Ovis aries: one gene and its partners. The protein of the gene in region 3 purifies or fractionates together with the protein of the main gene of each other region. This does not show direct contact. Links are inferred from orthologs where the notes say so. Each region holds a gene or a part of one and is shown on either strand. Other genes may lie near its edges. The genes, in order: ITGB1, ITGA3 and CD151.

The links.
Region 1: the proteins of CD151 (region 3) and ITGB1 purify together in Homo sapiens (affinity purification with western blotting; 4 studies listed by BioGRID and IntAct, with this or other methods). This does not show direct contact. The link is inferred for Ovis aries from reciprocal best matches to the Homo sapiens genes CD151 and ITGB1.
Region 2: the proteins of CD151 (region 3) and ITGA3 purify together in Homo sapiens (co-immunoprecipitation; 4 studies listed by BioGRID and IntAct, with this or other methods). This does not show direct contact. The link is inferred for Ovis aries from reciprocal best matches to the Homo sapiens genes CD151 and ITGA3.

The regions. Positions count from the first base shown.
Region 1 is NC_056066.1:19,329,580-19,333,225, forward strand, and holds part of ITGB1 (integrin beta-1), read left to right. Parts: intron 1-104; coding exon 105-327; intron 328-986; coding exon 987-1,219; intron 1,220-3,006; coding exon 3,007-3,173; intron 3,174-3,646.
Region 2 is NC_056064.1:36,313,866-36,317,511, forward strand, and holds part of ITGA3 (integrin alpha-3), read right to left. Parts: intron 3,587-3,646; coding exon 3,337-3,586; intron 1,803-3,336; coding exon 1,716-1,802; intron 1,348-1,715; coding exon 1,140-1,347; intron 682-1,139; coding exon 485-681; intron 1-484.
Region 3 is NC_056074.1:46,921,634-46,925,752, forward strand, and holds the start of CD151 (CD151 antigen), read right to left. Parts: upstream 2,886-4,119; 5' UTR 2,793-2,885; intron 2,480-2,792; exon of another isoform or gene 2,206-2,479; intron 1,896-2,205; 5' UTR 1,795-1,895; intron 1,162-1,794; 5' UTR 1,027-1,161; coding exon 943-1,026; intron 847-942; coding exon 655-846; intron 273-654; coding exon 198-272; intron 1-197. Other genes in the region: CRACR2B (EF-hand calcium-binding domain-containing protein 4A), read right to left, coding at 4,081-4,119. UniProt on the Homo sapiens protein: Structural component of specialized membrane microdomains known as tetraspanin-enriched microdomains (TERMs), which act as platforms for receptor clustering and signaling.

The DNA of each region.
Region 1 (3,646 bases), on a different chromosome or scaffold from region 3:
TCCCTCCTGTGGATACTTTCTTACATATTCTTGCTTGTTTTCACTTCGCAGTGTTGTGATTATGTTGTTACCACTGTTGTGAGAAATGAGATTTTTAATTGCAGGAAATGGTGTTTGCAAGTGTCGAGTGTGTGAGTGCAACCCTAACTACACCGGCAGCGCCTGTGACTGTTCTCTGGACACCACGTCCTGCATGGCCGTGAATGGACAGATCTGCAACGGCCGCGGCGTCTGCGAGTGTGGGGCCTGCAAGTGTACAGACCCCAAGTTCCAAGGGCCAACCTGTGAGATGTGTCAGACCTGCCTTGGAGTCTGTGCTGAGCATAAGTAAGTCTTTCTCAGTTGCTTGAAATAGGTGATTGGTCACTGTCTGTTCGCCTGTGTGTGATCGCACGGTACCTAGAACAGTGCCGACACCAGGCCACACTGTAAATAAAGTATCTGTCACCTTGAAGCCCACTTTTTAAATCTAAAAATTCTCAATCGCTAGTGTTGGCACATGATAGTGAATTGTATCCTATGAGTGTGGTGGTACCATTATTTCAACCTGAATTTGGTATTTAATTGAATCCATGTGGTAACCTTTGTTAAATTAGTATTACCAATTGCTATTTACTGCCTTTTGACTAAATAAAATGGAAGGTTTTGTCTAGCAGAAAGAACCATAATATCAGCAACACATTTCAAAAGTTATTTTGGCTTTATATTGTATATTTCATTTCTGATTGGGCTAGTTTTAGCTTACTACTCTTATTTCTTTTGGAGGATTTTAGTTTGAGCTATAATAAATCTATAATTTCACTTAGGAAGCTAGCATCTTTTATGTTTAGTTTTCCCACCAAGAAATGTCATATGTTTCTTCATTTATTCATATCTTCTTTCATCTCTCTTGGCCAAATTTGGTCAAATTTTGAGTCTAGCACACAAAATAATCTTTGAGCAAATATTATTATAAATAATAAATATAATCATTTGCATTTTAACAGAGAATGTGTTCAGTGCCGAGCCTTCAATAAAGGAGAAAAGAAAGACACATGTGCTCAGGAATGTTCACATTTCAACATTACCAAGGTTGAAAATCGGGACAAATTGCCCCAGCCAGGCCAGGTGGATCCCTTGTCCCACTGTAAGGAGAAGGACGTTGACGACTGCTGGTTCTACTTCACATACTCAGTGAATGGGAACAATGAGGCCACTGTTCATGTTGTAGAGACTCCAGGTAGAAATCTGATCATTTCAAAGTTTTTTGCATTTTCTTTTATGTCTTTCTGCTGGTTAGAGCTTTTGGCAGTTCCCCTTGATCCCTGGGTTGGGAAGATCCCCTGGAGAAGGGAAAGGCTACCCACTCCAGTATTCTGGCCTGGAGAATTCCATGGACATTCCATGGAGTTGCAAATAGTCAGACATGACTAAGCGACTTTGACTCACTCACATTTAGGAACAGCTTCCAGCTACTTTACATGACTACTTTGCATTCAAGTTAGGACATTTTAATCTCTTCAAACTTAAAATAGTATTTAATTAACTATAAGAAATAAGGGAAAGAGAAAGCAAATTTTATGTTATGGAGAGTTTGAAGAGTAAATGCAGTAACCCGTATAAAGCCCTTAGCACAGTGCCTGGTAGAAGGTACTCAGTAGCATCATCACTAATAATATTTTTAATAGCAGCTTGATTTAGGCTTGGACGCTGGGAAAGATAATTGTTAAAGGGTATTATATGGCATGAATTTGTTCTGCTTTTCAAGAGAGGAATCATTTTTATCTTTTTTTTTTCTGGGAACTTTTAGTACATTCTTTGGAATTTTCTGCATTTGTGATTAAGTTATTATTGGAATGTAAGTTTTCATTTCTCTAGGATAAATGTTAGGGATTGGGGAGAGGGCATATATTTAACTTCAAAAGAAACAGGCAAACTTTTTTAAAGCCTCTGTTATTATTTTGCATTTTCAGGTATGTGTGTTTCAAATACTGTTTTTTGAAGACCAGAAGCTTAAATTTTACCAAGTTTTTCTTTTGTAGATCTTGCTTCTTACTACCTTAGAACTCTTTGCATAACTCAACTTCATAAGTATTTTTCTCCTGTGTTTTCTTCTGAAAGTTTTAGTTTCTGGATTTGCGTTTAGGTCCATAACGTATTTTGGGCTGCTCTCAGTATCTGGAGTGGAGGTCCAGTTATTTGTAGGTAGATTTCCAGCAGTTCTTGTACCATTGCTTGAAAAGGCTGACTTTTCTCCACTTTGGGTGAAAATAAGATGACCTTATGTGTGTGGGCCTGTTTCTGACTTTTGATTCTGTTCCATTAATTTAGGCATCTGTCCCTTAGCTAATAACACACTCTTTCAATTACTGTTGCTTCACGGCTAGTTTTGTGACATCTGGTAATGTAAATTGTCCAGCTTTGTTTTTTCCTGAAAGTGTTTTTGAGACACTTTCCTAGTTCTCCTACTTCTTTGTAAATTTTAGAATTCGCTTGCTTGATATCCCACACATGTCCTGCCAGGATTTTGATTGGGATAATATTGAGTTTATAGATAAAATTGGGAGAGGATTGTCTAATCAATTGTCTAATTGATGAACATAGATAAAATCTCTCCATTTATTCAGATCTTTTTTAAAAATCAGTGTTCAGTAATTTTTAGCATATAAATCTTGTACATGTTTTATTAGGTTTATACATAAGTATTTTGTGATTTTGGTGCTATTGTAGATAATACTATTTTCTGAGGTTCCGTTTCTAATATATAGAAATCAGTTTTGGTATAATTCATAGAAATACATGATTTTTATTTATTGATCATGTACCTTATGATCTTGTAAACTTATCTGTTACTTCTAGTATCTTTTTTTATAGGTTCTTTTGGATAGTGTGCCCCAAGATACGTCACTTATCTTGGAGTTTCTATTCCTGTGTCTTTTGTGAGACTGCACAGCTCTCTGTGGTTCTGGCTGCACCTTCACAAGCTAACCCCCCTTGTGTGCGTATCCTTTGCTTTTTACTTTACAGAGTGCCCCACTGGCCCAGACATTATTCCGATTGTAGCAGGTGTGGTTGCTGGGATTGTTCTTATTGGCCTTGCATTGCTGCTGATTTGGAAGCTTTTAATGATCATTCATGACAGAAGGGAATTTGCCAAATTTGAAAAGGAAAAAATGAATGCCAAATGGGACACGGTAAGTTGGAAAACATCTAAAATGGAAGGTGTTTCATAAAGTAAATGTAACGCTTCTAAGACTTGTTTATTAGCTCTAAAGCTGATTATTAAAGTCCTTTAAATATTTCAGTTGCCCCCCAGAATTTATTATTCAGGAAACTTGCATTCAGTGAAAAACAGAAAACATCTTAAATACATCCCATTAAAAGAAAATAGTTGTAAGAATGTTTCTTCAGGTTACTGTGGTATTTTTATTTTCTTATTAATTTTAATCTTAACTCTGCTCTTCTGCCTTTTCTTCTTATATAAAATAGAATCCTGGGGACTTCCCTGGTGGTGCAGTAGTTAACACTCACTTCTAACACAAGGGGTGTGGGTTCAATCCCTGGTTGGGGAACTTGGATCCCACATACTTGGCATGACCAAAAAAATTAAAACCCTACATAATTTCAGACTATTCAGTGGAAAGCTGCTGCTTTTTTTTTTTTTTAA
Region 2 (3,646 bases), on a different chromosome or scaffold from region 3:
CCTAGCCTTGCTACCCACCTCCATCCAGCCCACATCTCCCTCCAAAATCATCTCTCAGGGTACCAAGCTATCATGTCACACCTCTGCCCTCAAATCTTTTCCGACACCCCTCTACCATAACCCAAGCATAAAGCCCTAGCTTTGCTGCCTGGCTTTCAGTGTGTCCACCCCACCCCCACCCCACTTCTCCAGCCACATCTCTGATGTGAACACCTCATACCCACTATACATCAGCCAAATGTACCACACTCACATTTTGCCCCTTCTGTTCCCACCATTGTGTACACTCAGCCTGGCCTTTGATGCCCAGTGGTATGTCCACTGTTCCAGGAGGTCTACTGAGCTCACCCCTGGGGGCTCCGTCTGCACTGCTGTGAGCTCCCCAGACTTGGGCCCGAGTCTGTCTCCTTTTTGGGCCCTATCAAGCCTGGTATGCAGCTGGCTCTCAGTCAGTGGATGCTGGGGCGGGAGTGCTGGCTCGTACCCTGGAATCCGTCTTGGTTGATGTCGCCAATGCTTGCCACAGAGAAGCCGAAGGCGGAGCGACTGGGGCCGTGAAGAAGGAGGGAGGGGCGGTCTGGGAAGGAGGTGCCTGCCTGGTTCATGAAGATATAAATCGCACCCCCTACTTCCTCTTTCCGCTCAAAGTAGTAGGGGGCACCCACCAGGAGGTCCTGCCACCTGCAAAGGAAAGAAGGAGGGGGAGATGGAACATGCAGCATAACTGTTATTTAGCAGACACAACTGCGCCAGGCAGGGCACACAACTCTACAAGTGATGCCTCTGGCCACAGGTTGTGGGAAGGACTTGGAAGTGTCAATGTGACCAATCTGATAGAAAACACAGGTTCGGGAAAAGCCATGTACACACAGATCACACCCAAACAGCTCATATCCACTAGGGCCATATGAATGACAGGCACAGACAGTGAGATGCAGGCATTATGAAATTGACATGCAAACACCCCGAATCCCATAAAGTCTGATTGCAAATCAACATGCAAAACTGATGTGTAAATCCCTGCAAACAGCATGCAAAAAGACGCACAGTTGCAAACCTCTATTTCTCTGCCCTCACTCGTGCAAGCCCACCCCCTCATCATTCTCCCTGGCCCCAGAGAAATGTCCCTGGATCCTCACCCATCATTGTTCAGGTCTGCCAGGGCAATGGCACTGCCAAAATAGGCTCCCACCTGCGTGCCCTCCAGCACCTGCCTCCGCCGCAAGTCTCCACCTGCTTCCTGGCTCAGCAAAAAGACAGCGCCCACATGTTGGTGCCGCGGGGCACCTGTCACAATGGTGATGTTTGTGGGGTGCAGGATGGCACTGCCCACCTGCATCGTGTAGCCTGGGATGGGGGGAAGGTGGTCAATTGAGACTCCAGTAAGCTTGGTCCCCTTGTACTCTGGTCATCTCCCAGGATCCCCCATTATCTTCTATTCCTCTATTCTAAGTTGGGCAAGAAAGTGGACCTTGGATGCCCAGCCCCAAGTCCTGACTGTACCCTGACCATGAACTCCATGAGGGTCATGACTCTGCCTCTGGGTGGAGTATACAGCTGGTGCTCAGTAAGTGTGTGCTAGCTGAACTGAATGCTACTGGTCTCAGGGCAGCCTGGCCTCTCTACTCCCAGACACTGAAGCAGAGAGGACCAGTGTGCCAGGGACTGAGCCCCCTTTCTCCTCCCCACCAAAAGGCCACTACCACTGGACTCACCAATATAGAGGTTTCCTTGGTCCTCTGGGTCCTTGTAACTATATTCAGACAAATCCCAGTCCTTCCGCTGAATCATGTAGCTGTTTCCTTCATAAAGATTTCAGGAAGGGGGTATAAGCCACCACTCCTTTTCTCCACTATGTCCAGCCCCCACTCCAGACAAGGATAACAATAACCTCTTTTATCTGTGAGTACTTTGCCATTTGAAAATCACTTACTCTTTATTTTAACAATTCTGAGCTAGCATGATGACCCCCATTTTGCAGATGAGAAAAGTGAGGCTCAGGGATGGAGGCTCAGGGATGGAGGCTCAGGGATGTCCAGTCATGGCTGGAATCCAGTCATCTGGGTACCAGCATACTATCAACAGATGACGTTTCCCCCACCCTAGACAAGGAAGCCAGACTCACACCATTATCTCCTCCTAATCCTGTCCCCAGGCTACCTGCTTTCCCCTGCCCCCAGGCTGCTGCTGGAGAGTCCCTTGGCCCTGCCAAGGAGTGGGAAGAAAGACTAGCAAAGTGAGCAGAGGCCTCAGCCTCAGGTGAGCCCAGAGCTGTGACTATGCCCTGGGCAATCTGTTGGTCAAGAGGACAAAATAAATAAATCATTGGGATGTAACATACCACATAAAAAATATAGTCAATAATAATGTAATCACTTTGAAGGGTGACAGATGGTTTCTTGGCTTCTAGGGGTGATCATTTTACAATGTACTTAAATACTGATCACTGTGTTATACACCTGAAACTAACATAGTATTGTACATCAACTATACTGCAATTAAAAAAAAAAAAAAGATTCTGGGCTCCCTCTGCTTGTTGATTCTGCAATAGTAGGTGCAGTAAGGGAAAAGAGGTCACTGTTGCTATAGCCTGTGGTGGAGAGAGGCAGGTGGAGGGTGTGTGAGCCATCAGATGCCCGAAAGGCAGTATGTGGTGTGGCAGAATCAAAGCATGGGTTTTGATACAAGAAAATACTCTGCAGCACTCTCAAAAGATTGCCTTGTATGTACTGACGTGAAAACATGTCTGAAATTTATTGATACATGAAGAGGAAGTAGCAGAACAATACATTTAAAATGATTTTCTGTGTGGGTATGTGTGTTTCTTAAGATACCTATATATTCTAAAACAGGTCTGGAAGGACCCACGAGACACTTAGCAGTACACACTGGGAAATGGGACGAGGGAGATGTGGGAGATGGGCGCTCTTCCTGTTTAATTGACTGTACCATTTAGTAGTTGTACCAGGAATGTGTTTTATTTTTTAATAAGTTTTTAAATGGTAACCTGGCATCAGATGGACCTACATTCCAATACACATTTCAGGACTTACTACTGGCCTTGGGGCTCAGTTTATTTGACTTTATTTTACTTCTCCAAGGCTCAGTTTTCTGTAAAATGGGTATAATAATACTTGCATTTTAAGATTAATTAAGATAATAGGTGTACCTCTGGTACCTAGAAAGTGCTTTAAAATATCAGAGGTCGAGGTGGTTGCTGATGTTGGCAAGGGCGTGCTCTCCTCTGCCCTCTTGTGTGGAAGCTCTGGCAGACTGCTTCAGGGCCTAACAAGGGTAGTGGTCTCTGCTCTTCTTCCCTTCCCCCACGGTCCCTACCTTTCCAGTTGTAGGCACCAGGAGCCCCAAAGTACACAGTGTTTTGGGTGAAGCCACCGCTGGTGCCCAGCTGGCACATGCCCGTCTCCAGGTAGTCAGTGTTGCTGTTGCACATCTCGTTGTGGTAGGTCTGCCAGTCATCCCTGGCGTCCAGCTCCAGGTCGTTGCCTCTCACATAGCACTTGCCCACCATGCGCCGCTGGTCCTCTGACCCCGACCACAGCACCTGGGTGTAGCGGTGGGCACAGACCTGGGGGACGCACCCCCAATACACACAGCTAAGCCCACAGCAGGAACTCAGGTACGGAGT
Region 3 (4,119 bases):
GGTCCTTCCTAGCCTACATGCGTGTGTACCCTTACATGGCAGGTCTTCACGTGCGTGCCCTGCCTGTGCGTGTGGCCCAGTGCGTGGGTGTCCGTGTCCCTATGTGTATGTGTACGTCTCCTGCACGCTCATGTCCAGCTCACTGCACGTGTGTCCCTGCACGTCCACGTCCTCGGGTGGCCTGTCCCAGCCCTCACCTGCTGGTAGTAGACGTAGGCCAGGACCCCCGCAATGATCTCCAGCAGAAAGATGATAAGGAGCAGGCCGAAGTACTGGGGGGAGGAGCAGGGGCTCAGTCAGGTGGGCTGGGACACAGATGCCCCCATTCCATGAGGACGCCCAGCACCAGGCATGGCAGAGCAGAGCCACTGCCCTCAGCTGCCAAGTGGCCACACGATGGGGGCCCCCGGCAGCAGGTGAGGGCTGGAGGACCCCGGCCTCCCAGTGCTCCTCAGCCGTCTTCCCTCTGCTGGCCCAGCCGGGATACGGGGACCCACAGGTGGGCAGGGAGCCCCTCCCAGGTGAGCACAGCAGAGTCTGTCTGTCCTGCAGTCTCACCCATGTCTCCCTTCTAAGCCCTCCTAACCCAGAACCACCCCAGGCAGCCTGGCAGGGAGCCCCACCCCCACCCGCGGTGCGGCCAGCCCCGCTGACCAGACGCAGCAGGTTCCTCCGCTCCTTGAAGGTGGCACAGCAGCCCAGCGCCCCGGTCACCATGACGACAACGCCCGCCACCACCAGGATGTAGGCTGTGGCCAGGTAGGTGCCCGAGGCCAGCAGGCTGATGTAGTCGCTCTTGAGGGCCAGCGTCCAGATGCCCACGGCCATGACGGCCAGGCCAGCCAGCTGCGGGCAGTGCACACCGGTCACCACACCCGGCCCCGGGCCTGGACCCCTGGCCAGGCTCCTCCGAGGTCGGGGAAGGGGGTGCCCACTGCTCACCCAGAAGCAGCAGTTGAAGGTGAAGAGCAGGTACTTGAGGCAGACGGTGCCACATGCTGCCGACTTCTCCCCAAACTCACCCATCCTGGGGCCGGGAGGTGGGGGAGGGGCTGCCCGGGAGGACGGCCAAACGCCAGCGGGGAGAGGAGCGGGGGACACACGTCCAGACCAGGTTGGGGCCAAGCCAACCCCCTGCCTGGGTGAAGGTTCTGGGAGCGCCTGTGGGGGAGGGCTGCTCGGAAGCCCCCGCCACCACTGCGGCAAGGGCAGACATGGTGCCCACAGCCCAACTGGAGCCTGGGGGGCCCGGCTCCCCTGACCAGCGCCCAGGGCATGGCGGGGGAGGCATGGAGGACCCCCAGCCACCACCACGGGCTGACTCAGCCCTGCAGGCAGCTCAGGTGAGCTCACACAGGCCCCTCACCCCACCCCACCCCAAACATTCCCTGTGCCCCACGTCACAGGTTGGCAGGATCCTACCGGCTGCTGGGGGGGCAGGGGCGGCAGAAGCTGCTCAAAGGTAGACTGATCTGTGCTTTTCTAGCTTAGTCCTGTGGCCTTGGAGAAGGCCCTCAGGCCTCATAAAGGGCCGGCCTGCCTTCCTTCCAGCCAGAGCTGGCAGGCGCCACCCCCAGACCTGGGGGTCCCTCCTGAATGGGGATAGCCACGCTGACCCAGGGGGAAATGAAGCTCCAGCCTGTGCCCCTCCCCAGAGCCACCCCACCCTCTCGTTTCTGGGTGTCTGCATGAGCGGGGTGGGGACACAGAGGGCAGAGGAGCCCTGGGGCCCTGTTTCCAGACAGACAGGGTGCCTCCCGGAGCCGGACTCCTAGCTGCTGCCCTAGCACTCACCTGGCTGGTGGGAGGGCTCCTCTGTAGGGCAGGCAGGCAGAAGTTCCCACCTGAGGAGGCTTCACTAGAGGGCCAGGGACAGGCCACAGGTCAGGCTCAACCTGGATGGGCAGGATCCCACCATCCCTCCTTGTAGCTGACCCAGGTACTGGCCGCGAGCTGGCCTTCCAAAGCCCCGCCCCCCGCGCTCGGAGAAGGGAGCGGCCAGGCCCGGTGTTTTGGCCTCGGCTAGGGCGGGGCAGGGCAGAAGACATTTCTGGACAGTCCGATTCCGGGGGGAACCGCACGCCTCCTCCAAGCCCCCTAGTCTGAGCCTTGGCACCTGGCCTGTAACTGGCCCTTCCCCCACCAAGCGGCAGTAGCTGCTGCTGGGGAAGAAGAAACGGTGCAGAACGCCCCGCGCCGGCGGACCTGGGCCTGTCCTGGGGTCTGGGTCCGGGGAAGGCTGTTTCCAGGCACAGGCTCCACCCGCACGGCCCGCCCTCGGGCGAGAAAGGCTGAGGAGCCGGCCGCCTTTCCGGGAGTGCCCGGAGGAGGTGAGCCCCCAGGGAAGGGCCGGCCAGAAATAGTTCCCGCGGCCCTGGACGCTGCCGCCCCGCCCCCGGCTCCCGAAGCCCAGCCGGGCCTGTCAGCGGCCCACGCCCCAAGGTGGGGGGACTCCCAGCTCGGCTCCCGGCAGGCCGGTGAGGAATTCGCGCGTCACCGCGATGAAGTCACCGCCGCCGCCACCCCCACGCCCTGGCGGGGCGCGCGGCCCGCCCACTGGCACCGGCGGAGAGGAGGGCACCGGTGTTCGCGCAGTGCGTGGGGTGCTCGGGAGGAGCCCCCGGCTCGAGGGGGCCGCAAGGACCGTCCGGAGACCAGGGAGGCACCTTGCCCTCGCCCGGCGGACCCTCGGCCCGCCGGGCCTCCGGGCACTCGTCTACCCCCGGTGGGAGCCTGCGGGGTCGCCGGGCGCGCAGCTTCTCCCGGTCGTCGGTGCCCGGCGGTGCACTCACCGGCCACGCGTCGGAGTCCGGCGGGCGGCGGGGGCGGCGGCGGCGGCTCGGAGGGCACAGAAGACACAGCCGGCCCGGGCCTGCGAGCGAGACGCGCGGGGCCGCCCCGGGCCCCGCCCCGAGCCCGCAGGCCCCGCCCCGGCCGGCGACGCAGGCGGGTCCCGACGGCGCTCGGCGCGCGCGGGCGGGGCACCAGCCCCGGCGGCCGCCTGGGGGCCACGCGAGGAGGCCGAGGCCAGGCGGGCTGCGGCCCGAGGGCGCCCGCTCGGGACGAGCGGCGGGGCGGGGCTGCGGGGGTCCCCGGGACAGACGCGGGCCGGCCCGGGGGACGGCCTAGAGGCGCGGTCAGGGGCAGAGAGGGGCCTCTCTGGGCGCCCTGCGGAGGACGGCTTGCAGGGGAGGCTCGGGTCACGGCGTGAGAGGGTCCAGACAGGAGGGTGTCGCCTGGGAGTGGTGGGAAAAGGTTCGGGAACGAGGGCAGAGGCTGCGACCGGCTGCGCTGGGGAGCTAGAGCCGAGCGCCCGACGGCTCGAGGCGGCGCCGTCGGTGGGGACAGCTCTCCCGGGACGGTGGGCCGCCCTCGTCCCCTGCTCCCTGCCCGAGGCTCGGGCTGGCAGGGCAGAGGGCACTGGCGACAGCTCAGGCCCACCCCTGGTGCCTCCACTCAGGACTCCAGTGGGCTGAACTAGCCCCCCCAGGGCTGTGTGAGGACTGGCATGGGGAGGGGTGGAGGCTGGGGGCGGTCAGGGAAGCCCGCCCACCGCTTCCTGGCCTACTGGCCTCAGTGCCTTGGTCCCTACAACTCTGGCGGACGGCTTGTGGACATGTCCAGTGGACACACAAGGGCGAGGGACGCCTGGTCCAAATGCTACGGCTCCCACACGCCAAGGAGGATGAAGTCAGTGAACTTTATTCAGAGGAAGGGGTTTTCCGGTAGTTTCGATGCGCTGGGCATAGAATGAGGACCGCAGCGAGAGACATGAGTCCCTGACCCCCCAGGTTAGTTCCTTCATGTCTGCAAGTCAGGCAGGCCGGGCAGCTCACTGGGGAGAGCCCACATCCTGGATAGGCAGCCCCCGGCGACGCCGAGTCGCCTTCAAGGGGCGGCTTCTCTGAGCAGCCAGGTGAGGCCCAGTGAGTCACTCGGGCTAGTCAGCGGCCACTGGGCAGGTGGCCGGAGCCGCGTCTGGGGGGGCGAGCCCAGCTACTGCAACAGCAGCAGCAGGGGGCGCCCAGCAGGGGGGCGGAGCTCAGAGCCTTCCTGCGGCCGCTGCCCAGCCGCTGGGCCTCACAGACGTCCCTCTCGTCTCGGAGCCGCGTGTTCAGC